Linked DNA regions of Oryzias latipes. The protein of the gene in region 1 purifies or fractionates together with the protein of each later gene. This does not show direct contact. Links are inferred from orthologs where the notes say so. Each region holds a gene or a part of one and is shown in the gene's direction. Other genes may lie near its edges.

Region 1 (3,776 bases):
CTCTCAGTCTGACTGCCTTTGATTTTTCCGGAAGAAAAAAAACAGTGCCCCCTACTGGTCGTGGTATCAATTCGGTGTCTCTGAGAATAATATACTTTTAACATATATATTAGCGTTTAAAAGTGAACGTCATATTCTCAGATAATAATTTTTATTTTCCTTTAAAGTTTTTTAAAGCCCTGCTACACCCACTGAAGGAAAAACGTTTAGAAGGGAAGGCTGATAAGAAAATTCTAATGACCGAGCATTCCACTGGTATTCAAACGCAGCACTTACGGATACGTTTGTGAGACGTGAAAACAGTCTCATGGTAGATCCGTGCGTAACTTTGGCTTCGTGTGTGCGTAACAAGGGATTCGTGCGTGTTTTTTAAAGATGTGTGTGTGTAAGTAGTTTCAAGCTGTTGTAATCTTAATTTGTGCATACGTAAATTGCATTTTGCATATTTTTCATTTTATGTTTTTTTGAACTTATACACAAAACGTATTATGTGAGTAACAAATCACGCACAAATCCAAATTTATGCACAAATCCAAATTTACAAACGCACAAAGCAAGAATTACGCACGCACAAATCCGACTGAGTCTAATTTCTCTCCATACAGGTAGAGCAGGTCGTCCAACAACCAAAGGGTTGCGGCTAATCTGCAGCCCAGACTTTGGCCCCGCCCAGCGTATTTTCTACATCCTAAGTGGAATCTTTTTCAAACTGCATTTTTTCATCTGCTTCTGCTTCACGATTAGAGAAATACTCAGAAATGCAGTTTTAAGCTGAATTTTCTTTATGTCCTCCATCATCAGAAAAAAGCCACAAGATGTTAAAAACCCCAAAAAACAAAGTTTTTCTCAGCCTGGGCTTTAAACGGGGAGAGAAGACGGTGCATTCAGGGTCATCACGGCCGTTTGGGCAAATCAGAAGTTTACATTTTTCCTTGAACAGAAATGTAAAGAAACCAAATCCTTTGTGTCATTAAAACTTTATTTTCATGAAATTACAACTTCATTTTTAAAAAATGTTATTCTATTCATCTTTCTTTTATTACTTTACCTTCATAAATACACAACTTTACTCACAGTTTTATGACCATTTTAAAAATTGTTTGACCTTTTTTACCTTTAATTTTACAACTTTGTTCTCCAAATGTTCCGAACTTCTTTTTTTTTTCTGTATTTTTTTGTGTGGCGCTTTGAACCTGGATGGTCGTTTCCTGCTGCCTGTGGTGGCACTGGCGTTCTGCGGTGGCGCTGGCGTTCTGCGGTGGCGCTGGCGTTCTGCGGTGGCGCTGGTGTTCTGCGGTGGCGCTGGTGTTCTGCGGTGGCGCTGGTCTCTGGCTGAAACGGCTGTTTTCTCGTTGGTCCTCAGGATTTGTCCCGCTGTAAAAAGGTGATGGAGGAGAGAGGAGAGCTCTTTCTGGAGAAGATCTCCATGTCCAGGAATAAAGTGGCCAAGCTGTGTCACACCTTCATCAAAGACGGCGCCGTGAGTTCCCGCCGCTCCCTCTTGGCGCTCGCCGTCCTGCCGCTCTCTCATTCTTCTGCTGATGATCCTCAGAAAATCCTGACCCACTCCTTCTCCCGAGTGGTGCTGCGGGTTCTGGAGAAAGCCGCCATGGAGAAGAAGCGTTTCTCCGTCTACGTGACCGAGTCTCAGCCCGACGCCGCCGGGTGAGTGTGCACGCGCGTGCGCACGTTTTTGTGCTGCAGAGACAGCCTCACTTCCTCCTCTTCCTCTCAGGCAGCAGATGGCGGCGGAGCTGGCGAAGCTCCACGTCCCGGTGACCGTGGTCCTGGACGCCGCTGTGGGGTGAAGCCTGCTCGGTTACAGACGTTTTTTCCCATCATGCACCGCGTCCTCCTCAATGCTCTGCTGTTCTCAGGTACGTCCTGGAGAAGGTGGATCTGGTCATCGTTGGAGCAGAGGGGGTGGTGGAGAGCGGCGGCATCATCAACAAGGTGAGGCGTGGAAGGGGCGGAGTCTCTGAGGTGGGTTTGGACCTAAACTGCAAACCTATTCAGACTGTGGAGTTCAGAAACAGTGAACATGTGGTTCGCTCTTCGACTGCAGGCGGACGGGCGGAAACTCCTCCGTCACCGTCTGATGAATCCTGAACTGGCGTGTTTTTAACCGCATGTGGAGCTGCGTTAGAAACACGCCTGAAAAGTTTCTTTAGTCGCCAAAATCGTCCTAGAGAAACAGCTAAACTCAAAGTGTTCTTTGGTCAGTGCATCCTTCATTCAGATATTTATAACTAAAACATAAAAATAAAGACGTGTCATTAGTTTACAGTGACTCAAAGAGACAACTTAAAGTTTTTTATTGTTTCTGTTAAAAGGAAATCTGACAATACTCAGATCTAAAAAGTACCAACAATGATGGAAATGCCTGGACAGCTGGGTGAATAAATCAAGCGTACCTTTGCAGGTAAAGGGTTCAGTTAACCCTTGTGCTATCCTAGGCACTTTAACGTTGGGAGTTGGGTCATCTAGACCCACTAGACAGTGGGGTCATCTAGACCCACTAGACAGTGCTCTGAACCTTTTTTCTTCAATGATTGGTGATCTTCTCTGGTGTCCATGGATTACATGAAATCTTTCCACCTTTATCCACCTTTGTCATGGTAGGGAGAACACGTCAAAGTAAGGGTGGGGTCATCTAAGATAGCACAAGGGGTAAAGGTTTTGTTTCATCAAACGAGCTTTATGGGAAAAATAGATTCAGACTTTTTCAGAATCAGTTAAAAAATCTTTTTATTCAAATTATTTTGATAGAAAACAGCAGATTTAATCATTGTTTTATCAGATACCAGTTTAGTTTTGAGAATGGAGACTCTTTTCAGTCAGACGGGACGTGGTGGCGGGACGTTTGCCCTCAATGACCTCGGCGCGTCTGTCCTTTCAGATCGGGACCTATCAGATGGCGCTCTGCTCCAAAGCTCACAACAAGCCCTTCTACGTGGTGGCGGAGAGCTTTAAGTTTGTGCGGCTGTACCCGCTGAACCAGCAGGACGTCCCGGACAAGTTCAAGGTCAGACCTCCTCTGACGGCGTTCCTGGATGGGCGAGCCCCGCCCTCACGTCTGTTTCTGCTCCGCAGTACAAAGCCGACACCCTGAAGAAGAGGCAGAACCTGTCGGAGGAGCACCCCGTCATCGACTACACGCCCCCCTCCCTCATCACCCTCCTGTTCACGGACCTGGGCGTCCTCACGCCGTCCGCCGTCAGCGACGAACTCATCAAATTATATCTATAAATGTCAATAAAGCGGTTCAGAGAGGGGCCTCTGCGTCCCGTTTGCTCTTCGGCCCGTCGGTCAGCTGCTGCTCGAAGTCTTCCTCACTGATCCGGCCTTTCTTCAGCTTCTTCAGGAGGCGCGTGTCGTTCAGGAGCTCCAGCGCCTCCTCCTCATCATCATTGCCCTGCAGAGAAGGAGGAGCTTAAACCGTCGGTCCTCGCAGAGACGGCCTCCAGCCGTCAGCGCTCACCTCTTCGTGCTTCCTCTTCACTGCCCTCCTCTTCCTCCGCTCCTTCTTGCTCTTCTGTTTGGACCAGGCTTTGTTCTTGGCGAAGTTCTTCTTGGGCGGCGCCGGCCCGTCTCGGTCCTTCTGCTCTGCCAGCGTCTTCTGCCTCTGCTTCTCCCTGTTCTTGTCCTTGTACGGGATGGCGTCCGTGTCCACCGCCGCCTCAGGGAAATCTGGGAAGGTCTTCCCCCTCAGCTCCGGCATCTTCGGGAGCCGGAGGAGCCCGAAGCCGCGCGCCAAGGCGGCGAAGTCCAGATCT
Region 2 (5,599 bases), on another chromosome or scaffold:
TGCTTCAAGCCTTTTGACATTTCCATTATTTTTCCCGCCTAACCACCTGGTAAAATGAGTCGGCATAAGCCAACAAAACAAACTTTTCTCTATATGCTCTGATTCAGAGGTTCATCTGTAGCAAAGACATGTTAGTCTGCTAGTAAAACTTTAGAGTAGCAAGGAATAAAGAACGGCTTGGGAGACAAAGCGGAGGATTTTCATGGGAGGAACTCGACAAACATACAAGACTCAACTTATTTCTTTCCATCTTTTTCTTTTTTTTTCTTTTATTAAGCTTATGTTGCATTAACCATCCATCTGTTGTCTCTTATTCTTTTTTTGTTAACCTGCTAAGGCACAGTATAAGAAGACAAACCCAGGTACTATATGGTTGAAGCATTAACATAAAATCGCTTCTGCAGCGATTGTAAATGAGGATTAATGATTAAAAATATACATTTTGGGAGTTGCTACTGTTATCAATGCAGGAAGGGTTACGGGGCAAACAATTAAAGGCCTTAAAATTGGGCAGTTTTGGGGAAAACAATATAGAAAAAAAGCTTTAAGAGAAGAAAACATCAAAGTTTATAAAATTGTGTAATTTGTTAGGAGTTTGTGGCTGAAATTGGTCACCATTTGGACAAGTATGTGACTCTCTTTTTGTTGTTGTGTGTGTGTGTGTGTGTGAGCATCAGTGTGTGTGGTCCTGACCTGTCCACTGATCCTGGCTGTTGAAAGGCCAAAGTGTCTCTGTCTCTCCAGCTGACTCCACTCTGCTGTCGCCTGTGTGTGGCCTATATACAAGCACATTTGTGTCCATTGATGTCTGTGTGTACATGTGTTTGTGCACGGAGTCACACGTAGCTTTGTGCGCTCTTGTTTCTGAACATGTGTGCACGCTTGTCAGGGAAGCTGAAAAACCTGAGTCTCTGTGTCAGTTGATGTCCTGCAGACACGTCCAGCGTTCTGTCGCCAACAGCAGGTTAAGGTTGGATTTAAATTGAGGTCAACTTGGCGACCCTTCGCCGTCTCTCTCAGTTCTCCCTTTTACGCGCACAGAATAAGAGCCGAGTTTTCATTAATCAAATTACAGACATTTATTTAGTAATCTGCATTTCTTTGAAAACCAGAAGTTTTACCTCTCGGTAGTTGCCTCCATCATTCCGTTTTCATTTCAAAATGTCGAAGACTAAAAAAGGAGCTTATCTCTTGCATGTGATGCTACATACAAACAAGGGATGCCACAATTTTCTGTGTAAAGTTACACCATTGAACCCAGTCGTGGGGAATGTGAATGGTTGCATCCTTACCAGAACGTTTACGAGGAAAATTTCAAACAAGTGTGTAAGAAGGATTTATTATTTATTGTTTTATTTTATTAAACCAGGCTTAGAATAAGCCAACTAAAAGGTTTTTCTTTGTTGTTACTTGCTTATAAGCAAATTTTAAAAAGAATGTTTTCTGAATATTTTCGTTTTTTGTTGTTGGTGTTGTTGCTGCTCTGAAATACACAAACTGTGACCTAAAGATCAAGTTTGAAGTGAATCATGGGTAACGTGAATCGTTGCAATGATTTTACCTTTAATAAACTTTTACTTTAATAAATGAAACTTCACTCTAAGTTTAAATGACAAAAACTGCCCCCCCCCCAGTCAGATTGTATTACGATACACATATCAGAATGTGTTTACATCCATTTGTTTCAGTATTTGCCTTTTTTCATGAGTTGCCTGGTGGTATTCGGTTCTGTCTTTCCTGTCACACACAGGAAAACAATGTCTCTGTCATTAAAGCTGCTGGCGCTAATGGTGGGATTAGTTTCTATGCTGACAGCATTCATCACTGGACAGGCAGATGGATACCGCAGACACACAAATGTTGGGCACGCCCACCAAGGAGCACACACGCTCAAGTGCAGACATGTGGCTTCCATTGAAATCGGTTAAATTGACTGATCAGAGTCTGTTTTTATTTTACTTTCTGCGTATGTTGGATTAGGATTTGCCACTTAGAATTCATCTTTACAATAAAGGGACTTTAACAATATCAGTCGTTTGTTTTAAAGCTGAAGTTCAGGATTGCAGAAAAATATTCGTTTTACTTTTTCTTAACCGTTTTTTGTTTTGTTTTTTACAGATACTGTAAATAATTGAAATGTTGCAGAAACTAAACAAATCATTCTGCTGGGTTTTTAACTTTTATGCTGATTTAATCAATCTATTCTAAAACTTTTCTTTTTTTTTGTTGTTGATTCCTTAATGCTAATTTTCTTAAAACATTACCAGTAACAAGCAATATTTTATAAACTATTTATAATACTGCACTGCTCTTAAACTAAAATACAGAAAATAGTACAAAGCAGGCAAAAGTATAATCAATGTAAGTTTGTACTTTATTTTAAGAGATTATAGAACAGTTTGTTCTCTCTGCAGTAAACATTTTCACTAAGGCCCCCTTAAAATAACCGAACCTGCTTTAGTATAAACTTGTTAATTTATTTAATGTGTTTTTTTTTTTTTTTTACAGTTTTCCTGAGTTCCATTAAACAGTTTTATTGTTTGTTTGAGACATGCAATCATATTTTACACCATAGTAAATAAACGATTGCTTAACCGTCACATTTTTGTCTCCAAACTTTCTCTCCAGACTGACATCCTTGTTGTGAGCTGTGACCTGATAACGGATGTGGCGCTTCATGAGGTGGTCGACCTTTTCAGGGCCCACAATGCAACACTAGCCATGTTAATGAGCAAAGCCCATGAATTCACAGAGACTGTCCCGGGGCAGAAGGGCAAGAAAAAGACAGGTAACAGGAAAAAACAAACAAATCCCTTTTACAAACGCAACTTTTTTTTAACGTTCTTTTTTGTCGACTTGTCTGGCATTCAAGCGGAGCAGAGAGACTTTGTGGGTGTGGATCAGTCAGGGCAGCGGCTGCTCTTCATGGCCAATGAAGCAGACCTAGAGGACGGCCTCTCCCTTAGGAAGTCTGTCATTAGAAAGTAAGTCAGCTAAAAGGTGATGACAAATTTGACAAAGCATGCACAGTTTTGAATCCACAAGATAATGTGTCACCTTCCCGTGAAATCCTAATCAGGTCTGTCTTGATGCTCAGCTCAAGTGGTATCAGGTGGATCAAACTGATTTGAAACCTTTTGCAACGAAAAGGCCTCCAACATTTAATCGCATTGTTTTTTTTTAAATAAGCTAAATCTGTACCTAAAGTTGCTGTTGCTTGTTAGAAGTCGTCCTTGGGCTCAGCATATAACTGTGCCAAGGCTTTTACTGAAGGTGTGTATGAGTGTGTGAGATGTTAAAGTAAATTCTCTGGGTGGATTGTCCTTTCTCAATGCTAAAACACATGGAAGTGTGAGAGCGGGTGTTTGGGAGCTCGTAAATACTTCATGGAGCCAAAGCCACTGTAAATTCTGACCAGAGCAGCTGCTCGGCATGCTCTGGCACGCAGACTTTAGAGCCACACTAGCACGTCTACCTGCTTTTTGTGTGTTTGTTCTTTTGATTTTAGCAGCAGGGCATACAAACACAATTTGTCAATTTCCAAAAATAATTTCAAGGAGACTGATTCACAGAACCTGTAAATAGCTGCACCTTTGTTATTTTTGCAGTTAAGGGAGTCTTAGTCCAAATGATTTTGCTGTACTTTTTGAGGTTACTGTAAATTTGATGGTAGCTGATGGGTGTATACTTGTAAAGCACTTTTCCACCTTCCTAAAGACCCAATACACTTTATAACCTACAGAAATGAAAATTCTCTGATGGTGGCACAACCGCTGTGTTTTAGTGATCTTACTAACCGATAAGATTGAAATATCCAAGATTGCTTTGCAATAAGGGATTTTTTTCTTGACTAAATGTCTCTTTATTTGAATAAACTATAATGCCATGTTAAAGGAATTTCATCTTAATCCTATAAAGCTTTAAACCATAATTGCTTTATTTTTACTTTATTACTTTCATAATTATTCGTTTACCTCTCTTCTGAAAGCAATCCATCATAGATGATGTCCCGCCCACTCCATCGCCATCTCCTTTGTAATTGGTTAACTTTTCAGCGTGAGATAGTAACAGTGTTTCAATTGGCTTTCTGTTTAAAGGTTCAACCCTACATTTATTTAGACCCCCATCATTATTTATACACAGACTGGTTTAAGGTTTTCCTGTAAACCAGTACAATAAAAACAGCTTTCCCAATCACAACATGGCTTTAAAATGTTTTTTAACTTCTTTATGCAACATTATAGCAGGATCAATGTTTTAAATATAAAAGGAACCCATAGTGTCTTCTCCAAACATTTTCTAAAAAGGTTTTTAATTTTTGAAAAATTTGACAAAATAAAACAGATTACATCCAGAAAAAAGTGTTTAAAGCTTTCCCTAAGAAAAAAAACTAGTGAAAGCCCTGTCAAGTGTCTTTTTTTGCTTTCAAAATATGGTTCATTAAAGCCAAATCTTCCAAATATGTTTAGTTTCTGAGACCTATCACTTTCTAAATCTTACTTGCAGTGGTTTGATTCTCTTTCATATTATTGTCTTTATTAGCTGGAGTGTGCGAGGTTTTTATAAAGGAGCTCATTTGATCAAAGCAAATCTTGTTGTATTTTAATTTTTAAACATATTCATAAACAAAAATAATGATTTATAAACAAATTAAAGAAAAGAAACGGCAGGATTTTCTACAATTTCAATTCAAGTCCACTCACAGCAAAGCTTACTAATAGGTTAAGGTGGTAATGTGAGTTTGACCCTTAAATAAAGGTTAAATGATTTTTGGAACATAAATAAAAAGGGGATAGAACTGTTAGCTGCATCTGACTTTTCTGTCAGTGAACGGCCATTTTTTCAAATTAATTTTATTTATAAAGCACCTTTCATGTCAAACAGACAGCTCAAGGTGCTTTCCATATAAAACAAACAAGAATACAATAAAACCAATCCCCACACATGTAATAAAATAATTAAATAAGCCCCTCATAATAAAATATACAAAAAACAAGCACAAAGAAAAGAGAAATGACAGAGCTAAAGAAAAGAGAACCCAGAACCCTTCTCAGTGAGATGCTGTAAAGTGGATTTCTGTGAGGAAAAATGCCCTTTCAGGCCATTTCAAATCCCTGCTCAGATGAGCTTGTTGATACTGAAAGGTGCGTCCTTCTCCTGGGAGGAAAGGTAATGTGTTGGGAAAAAAATCTAATTTATCCGCAACAACACAAAATAACATTTTGTTTCTGCTGGTTTAAAGAAAAGCAGTTGCACAGTCTTATCGCATGGGCCGGCCACCTGATTATGACTTATCCAGAGTTTTTGACCGCCTGCCAAACGGTGATGTCACAGGCTGGGTGTTCCTGTAATATTAACACCCATTCTGCTCTCACAGAGACATACACGTGGGAAATGATATGTGAATAAATACATTTGTTCATTTGACAAACACCTGCAGAGCAACTCAGTGCAGGACTTTTTTTTTTTTAATCCTTTTGAATGCAATACCTTTAAACAGATAAACAGACACACTCAGTTTGATTCATGGCTTCAGCATCTGGCTGTAAAATGTGTGTGACCGAGCAATAGTCCTCTAGAGTAGCTCTGGTTACTAGAA
Region 3 (5,455 bases), on another chromosome or scaffold:
CTCTTAACACTTAACATACTTCATACATCAAATTGACCCAGGAACATCATCTCTGTTCCTCACAAATGAACATAACAGGAGGGTTAACAATGTATTTATTTCAATTTATTTCTAATATAAGTCGCTGCGGAGTATAAGTCGCACCCCTTGCCAAACTATGAAAAAAGGGCGACTTATAGTCCGGAAAATACGGTAGTTGTGATGTAGATCGGCTACAATCGGCGGGCCACAAGCTCCCTGCTCCGCCTTATTCTGATGCATCTTCTTGTGGACGACTAGATCCATCTACCTCACAGTTTTCCTAGTCCGAGCTGGCATAGTTATTTTGATTTAGTCAAAAACGGCATAATCATAATTAAAAAATCACTAGGAAGACTTAATAGATCAAAGGATGATCGGAGTGGTACTTTCATTTCCGTCTTTGGTCCTTCTGCATGTGACAGTAATTCACTGTTTCTATTCAGATTCTGGGCAACCAGATCCATATGCACGTCACCACGGATGGCTACGGCGTGCGTGTGTCCAACCTGCTCATGTATGATTCGGTGTCGTCGGACTTTGTGCGCCGATGGGTTTACCCCCTCACCCCTGAGTCCAACTTCACCGACCGGGAAGGGCAGATCTGCACATACTCTCGGCACAACGTGTACCGGGGCTCTGGGGTCAGCCTGGGGCACGGCAGCCAGATGGAAGAGAACGTGCTCATCGACCGAGACACAAGCATCGGCGCCAACTGTTCCATCTCCAACAGCGTCATCGGCAACAACTGCACTATAGGTGAGCTCGCTGACAGGTTAACCCAACGGCGCTTCAAAGCCTGTCTGATCCTCTGAAATGTTTCGTCTTTTCCTGCAACAGGAGACAACGTGATCCTAGACCACGCGTACATCTGGAACGACGTCCACATTGCGAGTAATGTGGTGATCCGTCAGTCTGTGGTCTGCGATAAGGTCCAGGTCAAACAGGGTGTGACTCTCGATAAACAGTGCGTCCTGGCTTACAACGTAAGAAACGCACACAGCTGCTATCAAAATCTTCTCTTGTTGGCTCACATGCTCTGGTGTGGACCAAACAACTTTGAGCATGAAGTGCAATTCGTTAACGCAATTATTCACCAGAACTGGTGTTGGCGTGTTTTTACTGTGCATCCCTGAAGCCAACACAACTGGCTGTGTAACTGCTTACATTACTTGCTAAAACTTTTGTCTGTTTCTTCTTACTTTAAGGTTAAACAGCTTACTCTTTTTGTTCACCTTTAGTGAGTGAGTTAAAAATCTGAGATGATTTTGACTGAATTATACTTATTTGAAGTGTAATGGTTGTGTTCACATCACTGACTGTATAAGACAACTGTGAGTGTGACGTCACTCATTGAAAGTGACTATTTCTCCAAGGAAAAGTTGTGCTAAAATGAGGGTGTGGTCTTTTGATTGACATGGGACTGTAGCTTCCATATCAACGACATGCAAATGTACCTGTTTTCAGAAAGATTGGAGCATAATGAGACAAAATTACCGTCAAAACGGACTTTATCTTTCATTCATGCAGTCCGTGGCTCTTCTTCAGCACCTTTTGGGAGAGCAAATCTAGCTGCAGATGTAAAAACTTTTGATTTTTTTCTGCCCTTTTGGATCAATTTCCAGTTTTCTGTTTTTTTTAAAACGAGGCCCAAACTTTGTTTTCTCTGTAGGTTTTTTGTATTCACGTGAACTCTGTCTCCAGGTGGTGATTGGACCCAACGTTTCTCTGCCAGAGGGTACCGTGGTGTCGATGCATCATCCAGAGGAGGAAGAGGAGGAGGACGATGATGAGTTCCTCAGCGATGACGCTCAAGTTGACCAAGGCAAAGACAAAACCAAGCAGAAAGGTGCGTGCTGGCCTGAAGTGATGTGAAATCACCTGTTACTCCTTCATTGTTTTAGGAGATGACTTGGTGCTTCTTTTCTGTAGTTTTTAACCCAGCAGAAGTTGGGGCAGAAGGAAAAGGTTACATTTGGAGAGCCAGCAGTCTGGATGACACGGAGGAGGAGGAGCTGTCACATTGTCTATGGGGTAGGAATCTGTTTCAAAGCTCTCCAGTCTTTATTGAGTGTTATTGTTTTAAATTCTTTGCCTCATGTTGAGCAGGTTTGGTATTGAAGCCGGATCCTGAGAGCGACAGTGAGGACAGCGAGCCTGACGGTCCTGATGACCCAGTAATTCCCTCTCCTGAGATGGATGATGTCAAAGGTGAGCACTCCTAATGTTCGCCCTGCATGACTGCCCCCTACTGGTCAAACAAAAAAAAGCTCTCAGGGCTTTTTATGACAGAAATATATTTCTTAAATTTTGGAAGATTGATCCAAACAGTTAAAGAATTGCATAATTTTGTTTAGTTTTCCAGTTGGAGGTGCTTGGGACCCTGCAGAGAGGTTTGGAGGAGAACATCAGCTGTGACAATCTTGTCCTGGAGATAAATTCTCTCAAGTAAATCTGAGCCTTCTTGCAGTTTTGATGCTCTTTTTTTTACATCTTTGTTCACTGGAGCTCATTGTTCCTCTATAGGTATGCCTACAATATCACTCTGAAGGAGGTGATGCAGATCTTAACCAAAGTGGTGCTGGAGTACCCCTTCCAGCAGCAGGGCCCACAGCTCACCCCGTCCCAATATGTCAAACTCCTCCTACCGGTGAAGCAGCTTTCCCATTCCATCCCATTTCTTTAGAGGTGACTGTAGCTGATTATGATTTTTTTCTGTTTTCAGTTATTGAAGAAATGGGCTCCGGTGTTCAAAAACTACGTGAAGAGAGCTCAGGACCACTTGGACTGTTTGTCTGCGTTTGAGGAGCATTTCTGGGAACAGGAGAGCCACTGGGCGGCGATGGTTAAGGTGAGCCACCAGCAGTTACTATAAAGTGTGGAAAGCTGGCTGATTGTGGTTGTTTTGGCGTGTCTGAGGCTGTCGTCTGTCAATCAGGTGCTGATGAACATGTACGAGCTGGAAATCCTGGAGGAGGAGACGATACTGCGATGGTTCTCACAAGGAGCCACCACAGACAAAAGCAAACAGCTCCGCAAAAACCCGGGGGTGGGTGCTGCTGGGTTTTTTTTTATTTTTACAATTTTCTGGTTTAAATTATTCAGCTGTTTTCTTTTTAACCACATCCTCAGAATATGGGCTAGTTTATGATTTAAATGGTATCATTTCTTCTGGTGGTTGCTCTCATACTCTGTATTAATTATCATAGTTTTGGTATAGCTTAGTCACATTTCATTTCATTTTGCATATATATTTTTACCACTTAAGGTTTGTGCAGGGAAAAAGGTATTAACATTAATCGATTTTATGAAAAACTAAAGGTTAAATTGACACTAAGCAGAACAAGTTATTTCATTTCAGCTTGGTTTTCCGCTTATCCTAAAAAACATTTAAGTTAACTTATGGAAGAGGAAAATATTTGCCATTTTTGGCAGAACAGTTGCTACCATTGCAGACGTTCACCTTAGATTTTTAAAGTTACGGGATTTATTTTTGGATCTGGAGAAGAAAAACTTTGCAAGTCCTTAATTAAGTGGCTTGAAAAAAAGAATGTAGAGCGTGAGTTCAACCTGTTGGTCATTAGGATGGAGGACATAAATCCATTTTAAAACCAATAATTTAAGAAAGAAGTAAACTTAAAACGTAGGCTTATTTTAGAGCTTTATGCTTTTGTTTTGTGTTTCACTACAGCTTCAGAAGTTCATCCAGTGGTTGGAAGAGGCTGAGGAGTTTTCCGAAGAGGACGGCGAGTGATGAACTGAGTACAAATCATTTCTGTAAATACACCTGAGACTTTGTAGGTGAAGCAGGCATCCGGTTGAAGGAGATGTCGCAGCATCTGAGGACTGTTTGCAGCAACTGTCCAAATGGAATAAAAAACTTCCCTTTGCCTGCAGAAGCCTGCATGTTTCATTTATTTCTCAACACAAAATGCATCAGGATCAAGCTGTTGCTTTATTTAGTCATCACCTACTGCAAACGAGTTGGACCTTCAGAAAATGTTGGCTCAAACACAAGAGATACATTTATAAAAACCATAAGAGAATGTTTGACACGGAACAAGTTTCACCCTAAAATCAGAAAACACCGCTCATCCCTCATACATCTGTTTCAAGTAAGATTAAATGAAAATAATCCAAGGTAAAAGAAAAAGAGATTGTAACACCCACAGAATTCAGCAGCTAGAAAAACAAAATACGTTAAAACTAATAAAATATCTTATTTTGGAACTACAGACGTCAAGTTAAAATTTGTAATTAGTTTTATATTGACTCATTTTATGTTCTAAATTGAGGAACAAGTATGCATTTTATTTTATAGATGCTTGCTATATTCCCATTTGGTCCTTTTGGGTGTGAGTTTGTTCACATTTTATTTCAAATTATTAAATTATATTTATATTAGATGATAATTTTTGGACAAGTAATCCAGACCAGTAAAGGAATGACTCAATGTTTCATACAGATATTTTTAGACAATTTCTGATTAAACAAATTTTAAAAAATTCTCTTGTAAATTGGAATTAAATTTCCAGCTCATTTGGTTTTTTCTATATTTATAATTTCATGGAATGCTTTTTGGAAGGTTTTGTAATGTGTGCATTTTCATGTGCCCTGTCAAACAGGACACTTTATGGGGAAAAATATTCAATTAAAATACAAATGCATTAGTTTAGCATCAGGAATGTGCAGTGGACCCCTGAAGCAGCGCTAGCTGTGGCACCACCTGGGCAGGTTTTCAATAAAGCAAAAAAAAACACCTGGGCAGGTTGGACACCTCTGCATCCTCAAGCCTATTCGGACCTGTCATCCTTCTTTTCAAAGTAACTGTACACAACAGTAGTGAGGATGGCGGCACCTGTGATCCCCGTTATGGCAGACAATGACTGCCACATCTTAGCAACTCCCTCGTGTTGGCCGATGAAGCCTTTGTGGTCGGTGGGCGTCAGGAAATACTTGCGGCCGTCCTTTGGGGCCTGCAGCCTTATCACCTGATCCCCTTCCAGCACCAGCTCTCCAAAGCCTGTCACAGTGGTCCCCACACGAAGCAGCTTCTCCACCTCCTCCAGCGCCACAGGTTTCTCACCCGTCAGACCCTGCACAGCTATCTCCACCAATCCCTCCTCGGCACGTCTAATTCTGTGGTGAACGGTCTCCAGGATACCACTTGAGGCCTCCAGAGGATCTTGAACTTTGACATAAACATCAGGAATGTAGGATTCAGAGCTAACAAGGCTGAAAGGCACAAAGTTGTTGGTCTCCGTCTTGTTGGTCGTCTTTTCTATCCTGGAAAAAACAAACAAACTTTTAGACAGTGAGCTAAAAATTCTTTATAGTTTTTATTTTGAAATTTAAATACCAGCTGTTGCTGACAGAGTTCCAGTACTTCCATTTCTCCTGCATCATTATCTTCTGAATTACTCCAAAGCATCTTGGC

Evidence for each region. The genes of interacting proteins can lie anywhere in the genome.
Region 2: the proteins of eif2b1 (region 1) and eif2b3 purify together in Homo sapiens (affinity purification with mass spectrometry; 7 studies listed by BioGRID and IntAct, counting the BioPlex papers as one, with this or other methods). This does not show direct contact. The link is inferred for Oryzias latipes from reciprocal best matches to the Homo sapiens genes EIF2B1 and EIF2B3.
Region 3: the proteins of eif2b1 (region 1) and eif2b5 purify together in Homo sapiens (affinity purification with mass spectrometry; 7 studies listed by BioGRID and IntAct, counting the BioPlex papers as one, with this or other methods). This does not show direct contact. The link is inferred for Oryzias latipes from reciprocal best matches to the Homo sapiens genes EIF2B1 and EIF2B5.

Annotation. Positions count from the first base shown.
Region 1 is NC_019870.2:1,221,444-1,225,219, forward strand, and holds the end of eif2b1 (translation initiation factor eIF-2B subunit alpha), read left to right. Parts: intron 1-1,363; coding exon 1,364-1,480; intron 1,481-1,552; coding exon 1,553-1,665; intron 1,666-1,735; coding exon 1,736-1,804; intron 1,805-1,877; coding exon 1,878-1,953; intron 1,954-2,731; exon of another isoform or gene 2,732-2,899; coding exon 2,900-3,025; exon of another isoform or gene 3,026-3,093; coding exon 3,094-3,249; 3' UTR 3,250-3,265; downstream 3,266-3,776. Other genes in the region: ATP-dependent RNA helicase DDX55, read right to left, coding at 3,266-3,415, 3,482-3,774.
Region 2 is NC_019875.2:24,327,124-24,332,722, reverse strand, and holds part of eif2b3 (translation initiation factor eIF-2B subunit gamma), read left to right. Parts: intron 1-2,628; coding exon 2,629-2,788; intron 2,789-2,872; coding exon 2,873-2,984; intron 2,985-5,599. UniProt on the Homo sapiens protein: Acts as a component of the translation initiation factor 2B (eIF2B) complex, which catalyzes the exchange of GDP for GTP on the eukaryotic initiation factor 2 (eIF2) complex gamma subunit.
Region 3 is NC_019875.2:17,623,393-17,628,847, reverse strand, and holds the end of eif2b5 (translation initiation factor eIF-2B subunit epsilon), read left to right. Parts: intron 1-464; coding exon 465-777; intron 778-858; coding exon 859-1,004; intron 1,005-1,722; coding exon 1,723-1,867; intron 1,868-1,950; coding exon 1,951-2,052; intron 2,053-2,127; coding exon 2,128-2,229; intron 2,230-2,375; coding exon 2,376-2,466; intron 2,467-2,544; coding exon 2,545-2,668; intron 2,669-2,743; coding exon 2,744-2,869; intron 2,870-2,956; coding exon 2,957-3,067; intron 3,068-3,709; coding exon 3,710-3,772; 3' UTR 3,773-3,886; downstream 3,887-5,455. Other genes in the region: mitochondrial ubiquitin ligase activator of nfkb 1-A, read right to left, coding at 4,812-5,304, 5,378-5,455. UniProt on the Homo sapiens protein: Acts as a component of the translation initiation factor 2B (eIF2B) complex, which catalyzes the exchange of GDP for GTP on eukaryotic initiation factor 2 (eIF2) gamma subunit.